4 linked regions of the Rattus norvegicus genome follow. The protein of the gene in region 4 interacts with the protein of the main gene of each other region in a pairwise test. Links are inferred from orthologs where the notes say so. Each region holds a gene or a part of one and is shown on either strand. Other genes may lie near its edges.

Region 1 (4,264 bases), on a different chromosome or scaffold from region 4:
TCCCACAGCAGCTCCTGGCCCAGGACATTCTGGTGACTGAAGGCCCCTCCCAAGTCAGAAACTACTTACCACCAACTAGACCAGACAGCCTATAGCTCACAGGAGCTGGGATAACTTAAGACATGCATTCTCACAGAGAGCCATGAGAAGGGAAGCCATCCCAGGCTCTCATCTGTTATATTTCTCCCTGGACCTCCATGATGAGCTGACTCTATCAGCCAGTGAATCTGGTCCAGTGATGCTGCTCTCCAGGACAGGCAGAGTCCTGAAGCCCAGGGGCCACCCACCTGCACCAGGAGCAATCCTTCACGTCGAACCGCAGGAGATCATTGAGCATCGTCTTCCTGAAAGGCAGTCAGAGAGAGAGAGCTGCAGCAGCCAGGATATTGCAAGGTGTTACCTCACCAGGATCTTTAAGATGGGAGAGGGCATCCACTTAGGATTGGAGGCAGCAAGAAGGACCTGACTCACTGACCTGTCAGACAACTTGTCAATGTCCACAGCTCAAAGTTAGTGACTAGGTAGGGGCAACTAGGGCTCTCACACAGACAAGGCCAGCCTGATCGCACCACCAGCACCCCACTCAAGGGCCCAGAGCTGGAGTCCTCATTCGCAGCTCGCCCAGCCCCGAGAAGTCCTATCCTGCACTGAACCCTTCCTTCCAAGGCTGCCCTACAATGACAACATTCTGTCTCAAACAATGGTGGAGACCTGCATGCTTTTCCCTCGGCTGCCATCTGACATAACAACTGTATCAAAAGTAATTCCACTGCTCACTGGGCCAGCTTGCATTTAATATGCAAGTTGGGCATATTACCAACTTGTTAATGTGGAAGAAAGGAGAACCAACAGGAGCTGAGGCACTCCCTCCAGGGCCAGGCTTTTGCAGGGTATCTCTTTGGTGTTGACCCCAAAACCTAACAGTTTCCCCTAAAACCAGGAGACTACAGTCTGTCTGAGTCAGTTTGATAAGGAAGCCCCCACTGATGTAACCCTGAAGGATTTAAGTTAACTGACCAGGCCCCATCTCCACTGCCAGGTTTCCTTGCTCTTAGCTTCTAATACCAAAGTTGCTACTCATCTTTCCATTCTTAATGGAGGACACCCTGATTTATCCTAAGTCACAGGCAAACAGATGTGTAACTGACTTTCTCTACCTTTTCTTTTGAAACTGCATACTGAAAGAAAGCATTTCTGCTTATTACCAACCAGTTGTCTACCAGCTCCAGAAGAAGCTGAGGACAGTGGTCCTGACATCCTCACTACCCTATGCTAGACACCAGTCTTTTTTGGTGTATGAATTCTTACTAAGGCTCGTCCTTTTCTTTTACTCCGTAAATGGGTACATCTGGACACTGATGTAGGGAACTGAGTATGAAAACAGATCACAGCCAACACCAGGGGCAAGTGGCACAGGAAGAGGTAAGAGGACACAAGGCCTCATCCGTGAGGACATTAGAAGGGAGACGGAAGTGTACAAGGGCTGGGTAGCGAGGGTTGGGGACAATCCAAATACAAGGCCACCAGAGAGACAGGACAGCACTAACAAGGAGGCCACCCCTCCTATTAGGACTGGTCTTTACACAGAGAAGATGGGGACATTACAGGGCTGTGAACTGAGGAGCACGCTCTGACATGCAGTTGTACATGAATCCCCAACTGCTCTTGGAGAGAGACTGCGGATGTGAGCCAAGTTTGCATGTCCTAATAGAGAGAGTCCTGAAACCTCACTGCCTCTAGGTCAGCCGCCTCATGTAATCTACAGGACCAAGGCTGTAGTGCCAGGTTCTAGGCCCAAGAGGAAGGAAAGAAAAAAGTGACAGGCAGGGATAGCAACAAGAGCACACGTGTTTCTTCCAAAGCTATATCTCCTCACTAAAACAAGGGCATTTATTCCCACGTACTGAGCACGTGCTGCCATTTGAGTGATGGGTGAAAGGGCTTTAAGGGTAGGATCTTCCTCACCATAACATGGGAATCAGGTACAAAGCACCACACACATGGGGAAACAGAGGCTCACAAGGCAGGGCTACTAACTCCCATTCTCAGACAACAGGTCTGTCTCTCTGTCATCATCCCCTGCCACCATCAAAACAGGCAAACTTACCCATTATCTCCGCCAAACACATAGATGGCATCCTTATACGCCACGACTGTGTGTTTGCTGCGCCTAGAAAAAGATAAAAGGGGTGAAGAGTGGTGAGACTAGGACTCTTCTGGCTGGCACCCAAGAAATGAGACTACACATCTCTGCTGCCACCTAAGTTTGGATAAAGCCTCCCAACCGCTAAGATCTATAGAGATCCTTCAGTTTCTTCAGACAGCAAGGACGCCTGACACACCGGAGACTTCCCACTCATACCTCACAGCTCAGGGACCCAAACAGGATCCTCAGAAACACAGGTCTGGTACCCTACCTAGGGTCACTATGGTGTTACTCCCTGGGAACCCAGCCTTGGAATGACCAATCCATACTCCAAGACATCACAAGGGATCTCTCCCCTAGAGCCCGTCCTAAAACTTCAGCTCTCGTCCCTACTACCAGTGCCTTCAGGATCCCCTGTACACTGCATACCGAGCGCCTACGAATTCGTCGCAGGGCGGGAGGCGCCGCCAGCGATGCACAGTTTCGAAGGGTCCAAAGTTGAGCGTCAGGTACTCGACACTGTCTGAGCAGCTGTGGTCAAAGTCCACGCTCGGAGCCACCTTGGAGCTCACCCCTCCTGTCAAGGCCCCGGGCCCAGTGGGGCCTCCGGAGCCTGCCATCCCTGGTTCAGGCCGAATAGGCCACCAGGTTGCAGGACTCACGGCCACCGCCCGGGCCAAGTCAAAGGACCACACTTCCCAGAGGGCCCTGCGCCCCTGGTGTAGCACTTCCGGCCAGCTTGTCCGCCCTCCCGACAAACCTAGCGCTCCCCGCGACGCGGCGGGTTGTCGAGGAACCTGGTAGCCAGGCTCCTCGCATTATCATGTATCGATACGTCACATTCTGGAAAGCATTTTTGGCCAAGTCTCGGCTTGGGTTTCCCCTTTCAGGAAACGCAGTCTGGCTATAGTCAGCCACTAACATTCTCTAGGCAGCGGCGAGCTACACGCTCCCGGCATGCCTTGTAGTCGGGCTTTGCCATCTCCCGGAAGCCCCCCCACCCCGCCCTCCTCCAGGATGAGGTTTCCGACTTGCAGGCGAGCGGCTCAACTGTCCAACACCTTCTGCTTATGTCCCCCAACCGCCCTCCCTCTGTCCCCCTCTCCCTCCGTCCTCTCTGCGATGGGCTTTGAACCCCAGGACTTGATGGGCATGCACTCTGCCACTAGGCTACAGCACAATCGGTGGTTTTTTTAAGTTGTAGTCTATTGCCAGCTGAGTCGCCTGTGAAATGATGATTCAGGAAGTTCAGGCAAAAGGAACACATGTAGTCGTGAAATGGATATAAAGTTAATTAGTTAATTGGTCTAGTTTTAACTTTTTTTGTAAGAGCTTATAAAAAAGAGCTTATAAAAGCCAATGGCTGTCCTGACTACAAAAAAGTTGATATATAGAGTGGGACTGGATAGGTTTTTGGGTGACTACTGTAATCCAACAGAGTATATTTGTGAGTTTATAACAATGAAGTGATTTTCGATTTTTGTTTTTTCCAGACAGGGTTTCTTTGTGTAGCTCTGGCTGTCCTGGAACTAGCTCTGTAGACCAGGCTGGCCTTGAATTCGGAGATCTGCCTGCCTCTGCCTCCCAGGGGCTGAGATTAAAGGCATGTGCCACCACCTCCTGGCTGTGATTAATAATAATTATTATTATTATCACTATTATTATACCAGCTTAGCTTGCTGTGGGCAGTATGGAGTCTGCAGGACCCAGCTCCTGTCTCCCTTAAGTGGACAAATACAAAAGCTGCCTCTGGCTTCTGAAGCTTTTTAAAAACAAAAGATTTCATGTAGTCCAGGATGGCCTGAAACTTCTGACCTTCCTACCTCTGCCTGAGTGCTGCTATTACAGATGTGTCACATCATGCCTAGCTGTTAAGTGTTGGCCCAATTATACTGGGACACAGATCTGCTGATATATGTGTTTTAATTTTAAGGTAATGTTGAAGGGGCTTGCTGGGAAAACAGTCCTAACAGAGGAAGCAGAGACAGAGCCTGTCCTGCCTCTAAAACCAGCTGTCAGTGACAGCTGAGGCCTTCGGAACGGATCATCTTCTGGAGGCAGTAGTAGCCTCTCTGGAGGTGAGGCAGACAGTTGAAGGCAAGCCTTGGAAGACTCAGA
Region 2 (4,244 bases), on a different chromosome or scaffold from region 4:
AGGATGACCCTGGAACTCCCCAGACAAGGCAAAGACAACACAGGCCCATCTCCTTCAGCACTTCTCACAGGGTAAGGGGCCTATGAGCTGTACCCGGTCTCCAGATTCCTGTACTGGCTAGTTTTATGTCACTTGACACAAGCTAGAGCCATTTTTGAAGAGGGACTGAGAAGCTCACCCTAAAAGACTGGACTGTGGGAAAGAAAGCCCTTGGTGTATTTTCTTCATAGGTGATTGATGTGCGATGGTCCAGCCCACTGTTGGCAATTCCATCCCTAGGCTAGTGGTCCTGGGCTCTATTTCTATTAAAGGTGTGTGTGTGTGTGTGTGTGTGTGTGTGTGTGTGTGTGTGTGTGTGTGTGTGTACACTGTAGCTGCCTTCAGACACCACAAGAGAGCATCAGATCCCATTACAGACAGTTGCGAGCCACCATGTGGTTGCTGGGAATTGAATTCTGGAAGAAAAGTCAATGCTCTTAACTGCTGAGCCATCTCTCCAACCCCAGAGTCCTGGGTTCTATAAGAAAGCAGGCTGGGCAAGCCATGGGGAGCAAGCCAGTAAGCAGCACCCCTCCATGGCCTCTGCATCAGCTCCTGCCTCCAGGTTCCTGCCCTGATTGAGTCCTGCCCTGACTTCCTTCAGTGATGAACAGTGATGTGGAAGTGTAAGCCAGACAGACCCTTTCCTTCCCAAGTTGCTTTTGCTCATGGTGTTTATTATAGCAATAGAAACCCTAAGACACCTTTCATAGCCTGACCTGGCTCTCATCTCAGGCTTGCAATCCTAGATTGTAGTTTTGGGGGTTAAGCAGAGACCAGAGTAAAAAAGGGTCATGTGACCCAAGTGTGTGCCTCAACCACTCCGCGCCCGTTCCCTCATCTGTAAAATGGGAACAAATACATACCCCAACTCACAGACTGTGGTGCAGACAAATTGATGGCGCCTACTGGCATGCTCCCGACTGAGTTCTCCAGAGAAGTTCTCTCATGGGAACCCTCTCCCAGTGCAGATGGCACACCCTACTGTGTGCATCTAGAGAGCATGGTCAAGGTCCAGGCTGGGGATTGGGACCCAGGAATGGCTTAGTGGGGAGACAAATACCTACCTCTGAGCTGACTTGTGGTTTGATGATGTCTACAGACCAACAAAATAGTAGGAAACTGTGAGTGTTAGGGGTGAATAGAAGAGTCCCCTTTGGGGCTGGAGAGATGGCTCGGTGGTTAAGAGCACTGACTGCTCTTCCAGAGGTCCTGAGTTCAAGTCCCAGCAACCACATGGTGGCTCACAACCATCTGTGATGGGATCCGATGCCCTCGTCTGTTGTTTTTGAAGGAACCCACAGTGTGCTCACATACATTAAATAAATAAATAGATCTTTTCTTAAAACCTTTTGGGTATGGAGTCAGGAAAGGCCTCTTGGACCAGAGAGAGAAGAATGAGCTAATTATGAAACTCGCCACACACCAGACAGCCCTGGACAGCACAGGGTCCTTGAGATGATGAGTTCAACCGTGAAGTGGAGGTGTCCAATGTTCCCTGCATTACTTGATAAGGGCTAACTGTTGTGTGGGACTTGCTGGGAGCTGGGCACCATGCCCAGCTCCTTCCTTCTTATCTCAGAAGGCACTGAGAAACCCTGACAGAGGCCTGTATTTAACTTCGTTCTGTAACTACTCATCCAGGGGGGTTGGTGCACGAGGCCACAGGTTCAGAGTTCAAAACGCAGGTGTGGGCTTCCACACCATGTGTCGTCTTAGCTACTGAACTGTTGATATCATCATCACCATCAGCATCACCATCATAACCTTCATTCATTCATTCATTCATTCATTCATTCATCCATTCAAAATGAGGCCATTTGGTACTTCACTGACAATTATCCGTAAGAACGGAAACTCGCCAGGTGGTGGTGGTGGCACACACCTTCAATCCCAGTGGTTCCCTGTGAGTTTGAGGCCAGCCTGGTCTATAGAGTGAGTTCCAGGACAGCCAGGGCCGCACAGAGAAGCCCTGTCCCGAGCAAACAAAAGCAGCAAAGAAAAAGTGCTAACATGCTTGGCTCTGTCCCCAGGCCTCTCTGCTCCTCCTGAGGACAGCCACTTCACCACTGTCACAGGGTGATGACCCAGCTGAGCCCAAGACCCTGGGACCCCACCTCTCACCACTGAAGCAGGTGCGGGAGCTGAGCAGGGAGAGCCCAAGTTCAGCTCTGCAGCAACCACGTAAAAGGGCTTGAATAGCTGAAGCCCTGTGACTTTCTTGCTAGAACTCACTGGTAAGCAGTGCTCATCTGGTCCTGCCCTCACTCTGAACCTGACCATCCTGGGATCCTTTCCCTGTGGGCCATTTAGTGGCCTACAGCAGCTAAATCAAGAAAAGGGTTAGAAAGCCAAACTAACTGACAGCCTCTCCAGCCAACACAATCTGCTCTCTACTCTCAGGGTCCACAGGGCTTGCCAAGATAGTAATCAGGGCCACCAGGCTAGTAACCACACTCACGCCCACTCACTGCCCAACACACTGTCCCACGGTCCCCAGCCACTCCCACAATGCCTCCCTTACCTTCCCCGAAAGACAGTCCAAGACCAGCACAGCCCAGCCAGGATCAATCTGAACTCACAGGCTACCAGATCAGCTTCCGCTATCAGGCCCTGGCCCCTCCTCCTTGTTAAAGGGACAGCTCTTGATTCTGGGGTCCTGGTGAGGACTCACAACAAAAAGTGATCAAGATGAACTCGTGGGGATATGCAACCCTCTCTGCCTTCCTCATGCAGCTCACGGCTCATGAATGACCCGTGCTCATATGGTAGGTGGAGAAATGGAGGTTCAGGAAGCATACATCCATGGGACTGGCCAGCAAGAGGTAGGTGAACCCCTCATCTCGGACCCCTTCGTAACACAGGCACCCCAGGTCTGACTTTGGGTTCAGAGCTGTTGCTGGGTCAGGCCACTTGCCCTGGTCCACACTGGAGTCAGCTTATGTTTGAGACAAGAAAACAAAGAGGCAGGCCAGGCACGGTAGCACACGTCTTTAATGCCAGTACTTGGGAGATAGAGGCAAATGGATCTCGGTGAGTTCAAGACCAAGCTGGTAGATAACAGAAAGTTCCAGGACAGTTGGGGCTACATAGAGAGACCCTGTTGAAAAAAGAAGGGAAGGAAGGAAAGAAGGAAGGAAGGAAGGAAGGAAGGAAGGAAGGAAGGAAGGAAGGAAGGAAGGAAGCCGCTGAACCAGCGGCTGTCCTGTCTTCCAGTCTGGATAGGGAAGAGGGACTCTCACGTCATGTTCTCATCCCTGTCATTTCACAGCCAGCGGAGGAAGCCTGGCTGTTATCTACTGTTCAGAGCAACGGCTGTTCACTTCTTCAGGCGCTCAATAAATAAATATTTACCAGACACCTACCACCCACCAAGTCCTGAGACCTTTAACCTCAAACAAGATAGAGTGTCCCCTGCCTTCTCCCAGCCCTCTGTGTGCCCCTGCTATAGGAGGTGGGAGCCGGTGGGAGGTTGGGGAAGGGATTGGCGGGGAGTGGGAAGCCATGCTGAGTTCTGGGGTCACAGAGGGACTGAGGAGAGACTGGGGAGATGGCATGTGGGAGAACCCAAGTTTGGCTCTCCAGCACCCGTGGAAAAGGGCCAGAAGAGGTAATGTGTCTCTAATCTTGGCATTATGAAGTGGAAGGAGGAAGGTGTCTGGACTTTCTACCTATTTAGTCTAATCAAATCTGTGCTCCAAGCTCCACGATCAGACTCTTGTGGCCCTTCTGTCCCCACCTATTTACTGGACAAGGCTGAAACCCTGGAGTGTGTCCTGAGCCTCAGTTTCCCCAGATATAAAATGAGAGGCAAGATTCAGTAAGGACCAGGCAACACAGGTGTCCTGTGTCTTCCTTGGGGACTCATGACCTCTCCCCTCCTAGGATTGATGATTAACCCCCGGCTACCTGGAGTGAGGTGGGGCTGCTTAGCTCCACATAGGTGGACTAGGACCCCACCCAACTCACCTCTGCCCTCACATTAACCCCTCCCCCATCCCTGACAAGCGGCCAGTCTTGCATGAGGCCCTGGGGACACAAAAGGACAGAAGGCAGGGTCTCCATAGCGCCTGTAAGAAGGAGAAGGCTTCCTGGTGGAGGACCTCAGCTGTAGACGAGAATCTACATTTATTATATGGTTATGGTATACCCATAGCAAACCCCAAGGCTCTTGCACATCGGACAAGCCCTCTACCACAAGCCTC
Region 3 (4,242 bases), on a different chromosome or scaffold from region 4:
ATGCTTTCCGAGAAGTCCATTGAGCTGGGAGCTTGTACTGCACCAAGGGCTGACATCCTGGCAGCCAGGGATGAAAGCAGCCCATGGGGCTACCCTTGCCGTATGCCTCACTGGCGGCAGAGAACAAGGCTCTATTCAGCAAATACCCTGGAGTAGACACCAGAAGTCCAAGCATGGGCAGAGGAAGGCAGGCGTTGGGGGCTGGAGGGGAGCAGAGCTGTCTGTTTTCCAGAAGCCCAAGGGTACAGATGGCGCCTGGGGGGGAACTGAGTGGAGGGGATAGATGGGCCTGAGATCTCAAACATCAACAGCCTCCTCCCCACCAACGATGAAGGTGGAGGTTGGTTTCCCGGACCTACATATCCCCCAGAGACCTGGTGTATGAAAATTCAAAGGAGGTAAGTCTCCTGAGAGAACGGGGGGGCTCACAAATGAAGCCAGCTGTCTTACCCTATCAGGACCTACGTGCATTCCTTCTGTCCTGCCCCCTAAACACACAGCCAGAGGCTCAAATTGATTCTGGAGTCACAAAGGGGGCTTGAAACCCCAGCCCCCAACTCCTGAACTCCAGGAATGAGAAGATAGTACTGGAGGGGTTCAGAGGAGAGGGCTCTGCACATCTGTTGAGAATGGGGGTCCCAGGAGAGTGTAATTTAGGCTGATCCCGGAGGAAGGGAATAGGTTCTTCAAGATCCTAGCATCTCACAGGCCCACAGAGAAGTTCAGAGTTGGGGCAGCCCTGGCTTACAGGCTCTAAGAACTGGAGGCAGTTTACCCAACCCAGCTGTGTGCATGCTGTCCCTCTCTCTGTCTCTGTCTGTCTCTCTCTGTCTCTGTCTCTCTGTGTGTGTGTGTGTGTGCTCACACACGTGTGTGTTTACCACACAAATGTTCATGTGTGTGTACATACATGTGTTGAGGCCAGAGGTCAACCTCAGACACTGTTGACTTGGTTGTCTGAGATAACATTTCCCCCTGGGACCTGAGATTTGCCAATTAGTGTGACCCAGGAAGCCTACTTATTTTCATTCCTCAGCACTGCAGTTACAAGTATGCACTGTCAAACCAGGCCTTTTTTTTTTTTTTTCCAAACCAGGCCTTTTGTATTCGCTCTGTGGCTAGAACTTGGGTCTCCATGCTTGACAGGCAAGCGATTTATGGACTAAGCTGTTTCCTCGGCCCTCTCTTGACCCATTTACCAGAAATGGGGTTTCCTTGATCAATGGTGAAGCCAGGCTGGTGTTCCCAGGAAACCCTTGACTCTGGGTACAGTGACCTTGGTGGGGTGAGAAGAGTTCTCTCCATAGCTGGGCTGGGGCCCAGCTCCACCCCCTCAGGCTATTCAATGGGGTGCTGCCAGGAAGTCAGGGGCAGATCCAGTCCAGCCCGTCCCTCAATAAAGGCCCTGACATCCCAGGAGCCAGCAGAAGCAGGGCAAGATGGAGCGGAGACGTATCACCTCTGCACGCCGCTCCTATGCCTCCTCCGAGACGATGGTCAGGGGCCATGGTCCTACCAGACACCTGGGTACCATTCCGCGCCTCTCCCTGTCTCGAATGACGCCTCCACTCCCTGCCAGGGTAGACTTCTCCCTGGCCGGGGCGCTCAATGCCGGCTTCAAAGAGACTCGGGCCAGCGAGCGTGCGGAGATGATGGAGCTCAATGACCGCTTTGCTAGCTACATCGAGAAGGTCCGCTTCCTGGAACAGCAAAACAAGGCGCTGGCAGCTGAGCTGAACCAGCTTCGAGCCAAGGAGCCCACCAAACTGGCTGACGTTTACCAGGCAGAACTTCGGGAGCTGCGGCTGCGTCTGGACCAGCTTACTACCAACAGTGCCCGGCTGGAGGTGGAGAGGGACAATCTCACACAGGACCTCGGCACCCTGAGGCAGAAGTGAGAAGGGGAATAGGAAAAATGGCTAGTGAGCAGAGAGACTGAATTGAGAGAGGAGCCTGGAAGGAAGGGTACTGCCTCCCCCTAAGGAGAGCCTCTTGGCTGCTGTGTTTCAAAAGGGAGAGCTGTCTTTGTTCCCTAATATGATCAGAATAGCCAGGAAGAGACTGAAAACTTCAGGGATCAGATTCCCAGAGAGAGCTGAGCATTCTGGGTACTTCCACCAAGCTGAGGGAGGCTGTGTGTGGGTAGCCAGGGTACAAGCAGGCAGGTGCTTCAGTCACTGGGCACTATGAATGGCCAGAGAGGTTTGCGTCCACAAGGAGGCTCTTGGTCTCTGAAATATAAGAAATGCAAGAAAGAGCAGGCAGGCCTGGATGCCGGGCCCAGATGGCTGTCTACGACCTGCTTTTGACCCTGCTCAAGTCATTTTGATTGGTTGTAGCTGTAAAGGAGAGGTCATGATACAATCTGTCCTAAAAGATGGTAACCGAGGTCAAACTCTGGGGCGTGGTGCTTTGCTGGGTGGTGGGTATTCACGTGTCCCTCTGGTGCGGGAGGGGCACTGGTGTCAGTGACAGTGGGCGCACGGTGGTGGATGCGTCTCTGGGAACAAGAGCAGGTGCACCAACCCCGATAAGGCACCTCAGTAATGAGTTAAGGAGGAAGCTCTTATCTGTTCACGCTCAGCCAAGGCCTCTGTGTAGGAACCTGCCGTTGCTTACTCTTCCTGCCATTCTACCGATCCTGTGGGATCCGTTTGTGACAGTCCCCTCCCTCTGGAGGTTCGGATAGGGATCCAAGAGTCCTCAGGAAAACCTAAAGCCTGTACTGTGTTCCCTGTCCCAGGCTCCAAGATGAAACCAACCTGAGGCTGGAGGCGGAGAACAACCTGGCTGTGTACAGACAGGTCAGAGAGATGAGAGGGAGGGTGGGGGAGGGGAGGCGGAGGGCCGCCCACCAAACACCGCAGTTGTCTGCTTCCAAGATCCCCACAAGGAGGGGGAAGACAAAGTTGGAAATTTTAGTAGCTAGGACCCTGGGGTCAAAGAGATTCTCTCCCTGCTCCAGGAGGCGGATGAAGCCACCTTGGCTCGTGTGGATCTGGAGAGGAAGGTTGAGTCGCTGGAGGAGGAGATCCAGTTCTTGAGGAAGATCCATGAGGAGGTGAGGCCAGGGAGGGGGAGGGAGGGGCCTTACGAGAAACTGCAGGTGATAGACAGAGACGCTCACAGAGGGAAACGGAGAAACCAAATTTCAGGAAGAAAACAAAAACGAGAGAAAGAGTGAAGACAGAGACTAAGGGAGATGTGTCCAGTATTTACTACCCGTGAAAACACACGCAGGCCTTCCGCCGCCATGTTCTGAGAAGCACAGAACCGAGTCTTGAGTTTCTCCTTCACATCAGCTCTGCGAGCCTTATCACTACCTCCTTCACAACTGTGGGGACCTTGAGGCCCAGAGAGGTTAAAACACACCCCCAAAGTCACACAGCTGAGAACCCCTCTGAGGACCTGTCACAGTGGTATGCATCTCAGCCTGTGAGTGGTAGACGTGGAACGTTTGAACTGTTCAAGGCCAATTTCAGCCACACAGAAAAACTGAGACCAGCCACGCACGCACGCACATCTATTCTCTGACCTCAGAGCCTGGCTGCAAGACATATTCATTCATGCCTGGTTCCTGACTATGCAGTCCTGAGAGGAAGGCACCCTCAAATTCTCATTCCATGCCCATTAGACGCTTTACTTTTACTTTTTGACAGGATATCACTGTGTAGCCTTGGCTGGCCTGGAACATGCACTTCCTCCAGTAACATCTGCCTCATTTCCGTGAGCCATTGCTATAAATGGCAGACAGAGGCGTGAGTCTGGGAGAGTGCAGCCTAGGCCTGAGGCTTGAGCCTCAATACCCCTTCTTTTACCTTATTAGGAAGTTCGAGAACTCCAGGAGCAGCTGGCCCAGCAGCAGGTCCACGTGGAGATGGATGTGGCCAAGCCAGACCTCACAGCGGCTCTGAGAGAGATTCGCACTCAGTACGAGGCAGTGGCCACCAGTAACATGCAAGAAACAGAAGAGTGGTATCGGTCCAAGGTACCTGTGGGGCAGCTTGCCTCTTCCAGGAAGTCTTCCTGCTCCCTCCTGAAGAATAAAGGAAGGAAGGAAGCTAGGGAAGGGTAACCTATCTAGGTGTCCAGTCTTGCCCAGAGAGAGGAGACTTGCCCAAAACCACGCAAGCATTATTACTTCCCAAACTACTCTTGGTTACTGCTATTATAAGTAATATCAGTAATAGTTAATAATAGCTAAAAGGCTCACCAGTTTGCTCAGTGTCACACAGCTCCTAA
Region 4 (3,510 bases):
ATCATATAACTTATCTATGCATTGAAATAATGTGATTTTTCCATTTATAAATGTTTTAAATTAAGGAGGAGAAGCTGATTATAACTAGCTTATTAATCTTAATAAAAGCCTAACAAGACTAAATAATGAGAAAAACTGGGGCTGGTGAGATGGCTCAGTGATGAAAAATCTTGCTAAGCAAGCATAAGGACCTGAGTTCAGATCTCCAGCATGTATGTAAAAGCTGAGTGCAGTGGCTCATGTCCAGAACCCAATGTTGGGAGACAGCAAGACAGGGAGATGCTGGTGCTCACTGGCCAGCCAGGCTAGCCAAAAGAAGGTATCTGAAACTATTCTCAGGTGGGTGTGCATGGACACACACACACACACACACACACACACACACACACACACACACACACACACTAACACACACACACTCTTTGTAACATAAGTATACATACCACACTCTTCCTTCCTTCCTTCCTTCCTCCCTCCCTCCCTCCCTCCCTCCCTCTCTCTTTCTTTCTTCCTTATTTATTTATTTATTTATTTATTTATTTATTTATTTATTTATTTTAGACAGGGTTTCTTTGTGTAGCTCTGGCCATTTGCCTTGTAGACCAAACTGGCCTCAAACTCAGAGATCCACTTGCCTCTGCCTCTCCAATGCTACCACTGACAGGCCATAAAATAAATTTTAAAAGACAGAATTTAAGTAAACAAAACATAATATAGACAAACAAGTATTTTAAAAAATTAAATCGGGGCTGGGGATTTAGCTCAGTGGTAGAGTGCTTGCCTGGGAAGCGCAAGGCCCTGGGTTCGGTCCCCAGCTCCGAAAAAAAAGAACCAAAAAAAAAAAAAAAAAAAAACTGAAATAGTCAAGTTCCACAGTCACAGAATTATCAAAATTGTTACAAGAAGAAATTTTATGGTAATTTCATTTTAAAACATACTCAACCAGTAAAGTTTTTCTTCCTGAGAAAGTCTAGCTTAGATCACTTCTCATTAAGTTCAAACTTTCAGTAGCCAATTACTGATATAGACTGTTTTTACAAATAATAAGGAAAGAACAAAAGCAGCTACCTAGCCCATTTTATAAGGCTTATGTAAAAACTACCCAGGAATAAGACAGAGAAGACAGACAATCGTCTTTCTTAACTAATGCACACAGATGTAAAAACTTTATGAAAGAGAAATGGATTCAAGGCAAGGATGCTCTCTTTCACTAACACAAGGGGCAACTGGTAAAACTGACATCACTTAGGATAAAAAAATCGGTTAACTAGGAAGAGAATACTTTGTTAAACTTCCTTCTAGAAGCCTACAGTAAATATCATAGTAATGCATGAACTCTGCATCTCTAAGAGTCAGGAAATCAGAAATGTCCAATATTACCTCTATTGTTTGACACAATTTATGCAAACAAAGCCCACTTGTCTACTGTTTCAATAAAGAGCCTAGAACAATGTATGTTTACACACTGGGAGAAATGTTGTAAAACATTATTTTCAGGGGCGGTCATCTTTAGTACATAAAAAAAGTATCAAGTCCCAGAACTAAGTTAGGTAACCAGGGACTCAACTCAAGAGGTGGTTCAGATGTAAGAGCACTGGGGTTGGGGGTTTAGCTCAGTGGTAGAGCACTTGCCTAGCAAGCGCAAGGCCCTGGGTTCGGTCCCCAGCTCCGAAAAAAAAAACCAAAAAAAAACCCAAACAAACAAACAAACAAACAAAAACAGATGTAAGAGCCCCAACTGCTCTTCCAGAGGTCCTGAGTTCAATTCCCAGCAACCACATGGTGACTCACAACCATCTGTAATGAATCTGATGACTCTTCTGGTGTGTCTGAAGACAGCTACAGTGTGCTTATATACATAAAATAAACATATAAATTAAAAGTTAGTTACGCAGAGTTAAGTGGAATGTGTAAGATTAGCCAGCAATAAATTAGCAATACTATGTCTCCATGTAAATAATAAACAACTGAAGATACAAGCGTTTTTCTCTTATATTATCCAAAATTTTAAAACCTTATTGTCAAAGTAGTGACTATTACATAGAAAAACAAAAATCATAAGCTTACACCTTGAAGTTCACAACGGACATGGCAATCACCATAAGCACCCTCAAGTCAAGAAATACTAGTACCCAGAATCCTACTCCTCCCTTCCCACTTGTCTCAAGGGCCAGGACCACCATCCTGTGCTTGCTTTCCTTCTAAGATTACTGTGTGCTAGAGAAATACATGGTTGATACTAAAACACACACAGGCACAGGCAGATACACACACAAAACTTCTTAGCACCCAAATTCATGAGTGTTAGGAATTAAACTGAGACTTCCCCTTTAATCAACTAATTAAAACACACCAGTGGAAGGGCTAGTTCCATTTCTACCTGAAAAGTAGATGTACTTTTACTTATTTATTTTCTGTGCGTGAGGGTGTCTGCCTTGTGCCTTTGGAACTCAGAAGAGGGCACTGGATCCCCTGAAGCGGGTTACAAATGGTTGAAAGCCACTATGTGGGTCCTGGGAATTGAACCTAAGTCTTAACCACCGAGCACCTCTCCAGCCCCATCCATCTTTCTGTCCTGTCCCTGTCTCTCCTTCGTGCCCTTTAGTGCTCTACAAACTCATCTCTTCTGGAAGAATATGAGACAGAAGACAGACCTCAGCCACAGTGCTACGAATCCCATCTACCACCTGCTCAAAGTCCACCAGGCTGAAGAGTGGCTGCTGCTTGAGCCGGTGCAGCTCGGCAGCAAAAGTGTCCTCCTGGTTTTTCAAGATGGACCCTGTGGAGTATGACGACACGATCATCAGACAGGAGTCAGGGTAGTCAGGGTAGTCAGGGTAGACAGGGTAGTCAGGGTAGAAAGGGTAGACAGGTTAGTCAGGGTAGACAGGGTAGACAGGGTAGTCAGGGTAGACAGGGTAGTCAGGGTAGACAGGAGTCAGGATAGTCAGGGTAGACAGGGTAGTCAGGGTAGACAGGAGTCAGGATAGTCAGGGTAGACAGGGTAGACAGGGTAGTCAGGGTAGTCAGGGTAGACAGGAGTCAGAATAGTCAGGGTAGACAGGGTAGTCAGGGTAGACAGGGTAGTCAGGGTAGACAGGGTAGACAGGGTAGACAGAGTAGTCAGGGTAGACAGGGTAGTCAGGGTAGTCAGGGTAGACAGGGTAGTCAGGGTAGACAGGAGTCAGGATAGTCAGGGTAGACAGGGTAGACAGGGTAGTCAGGGTAGTCAGGGTAGACAGGAGTCAGAATAGTCAGGGTAGACAGGGTAGTCAGGGTAGACAGGGTAGTCAGGGTAGACAGGGTAGACAGAGTAGTCAGGGTAGACAGGGTAGACAGGGTAGACAGGGTAGTCAGGGTAGTCAGGGTAGACAGGGTAGTCAGGGTAGTCAGGGTAGTCAGGGTAGACAGGGTAGTCAGGGTAGTCAGGGTAGTCAGGGTAGACAGGGTAGTCAGGGTAGACAGGGTAGTCAGGGTAGTCAGGGTAGTCAGGGTAGACAGGGTAGTCAG

What was found. The genes of interacting proteins can lie anywhere in the genome.
Region 1: the proteins of Tubgcp4 (region 4) and Lztr1 interact in binary tests that used the Homo sapiens proteins (3 or more experiments, as listed by UniProt). The link is inferred for Rattus norvegicus from reciprocal best matches to the Homo sapiens genes TUBGCP4 and LZTR1.
Region 2: the proteins of Tubgcp4 (region 4) and Sdsl interact in a two-hybrid assay, tested with the Homo sapiens proteins (2 studies listed by BioGRID and IntAct). The two-hybrid records come from large-scale screens. The link is inferred for Rattus norvegicus from reciprocal best matches to the Homo sapiens genes TUBGCP4 and SDSL.
Region 3: the proteins of Tubgcp4 (region 4) and Gfap interact in a two-hybrid assay, tested with the Homo sapiens proteins (2 studies listed by BioGRID and IntAct). The two-hybrid records come from large-scale screens. The link is inferred for Rattus norvegicus from reciprocal best matches to the Homo sapiens genes TUBGCP4 and GFAP.

The regions. Positions count from the first base shown.
Region 1 is NC_086029.1:97,005,048-97,009,311, forward strand, and holds the start of Lztr1 (leucine-zipper-like transcriptional regulator 1), read right to left. Parts: upstream 2,805-4,264; 5' UTR 2,767-2,804; coding exon 2,576-2,766; intron 2,171-2,575; coding exon 2,108-2,170; intron 345-2,107; coding exon 288-344; intron 1-287. UniProt on the Homo sapiens protein: Substrate-specific adapter of a BCR (BTB-CUL3-RBX1) E3 ubiquitin-protein ligase complex that mediates ubiquitination of Ras (K-Ras/KRAS, N-Ras/NRAS and H-Ras/HRAS).
Region 2 is NC_086030.1:41,758,812-41,763,055, reverse strand, and holds the start of Sdsl (serine dehydratase-like), read right to left. Parts: upstream 2,805-4,244; 5' UTR 2,564-2,804; intron 1-2,563. UniProt on the Homo sapiens protein: Catalyzes the pyridoxal-phosphate-dependent dehydrative deamination of L-threonine and L-serine to ammonia and alpha-ketobutyrate and pyruvate, respectively. Also exhibits racemase activity towards L-glutamate and D-glutamate.
Region 3 is NC_086028.1:88,358,858-88,363,099, reverse strand, and holds the start of Gfap (glial fibrillary acidic protein), read left to right. Parts: upstream 1-1,438; 5' UTR 1,439-1,439; coding exon 1,440-1,894; intron 1,895-2,743; coding exon 2,744-2,804; intron 2,805-2,965; coding exon 2,966-3,061; intron 3,062-3,826; coding exon 3,827-3,988; intron 3,989-4,242.
Region 4 is NC_086021.1:128,608,880-128,612,389, reverse strand, and holds part of Tubgcp4 (gamma-tubulin complex component 4), read right to left. Parts: intron 2,780-3,510; coding exon 2,655-2,779; intron 1-2,654. UniProt on the Homo sapiens protein: Component of the gamma-tubulin ring complex (gTuRC) which mediates microtubule nucleation.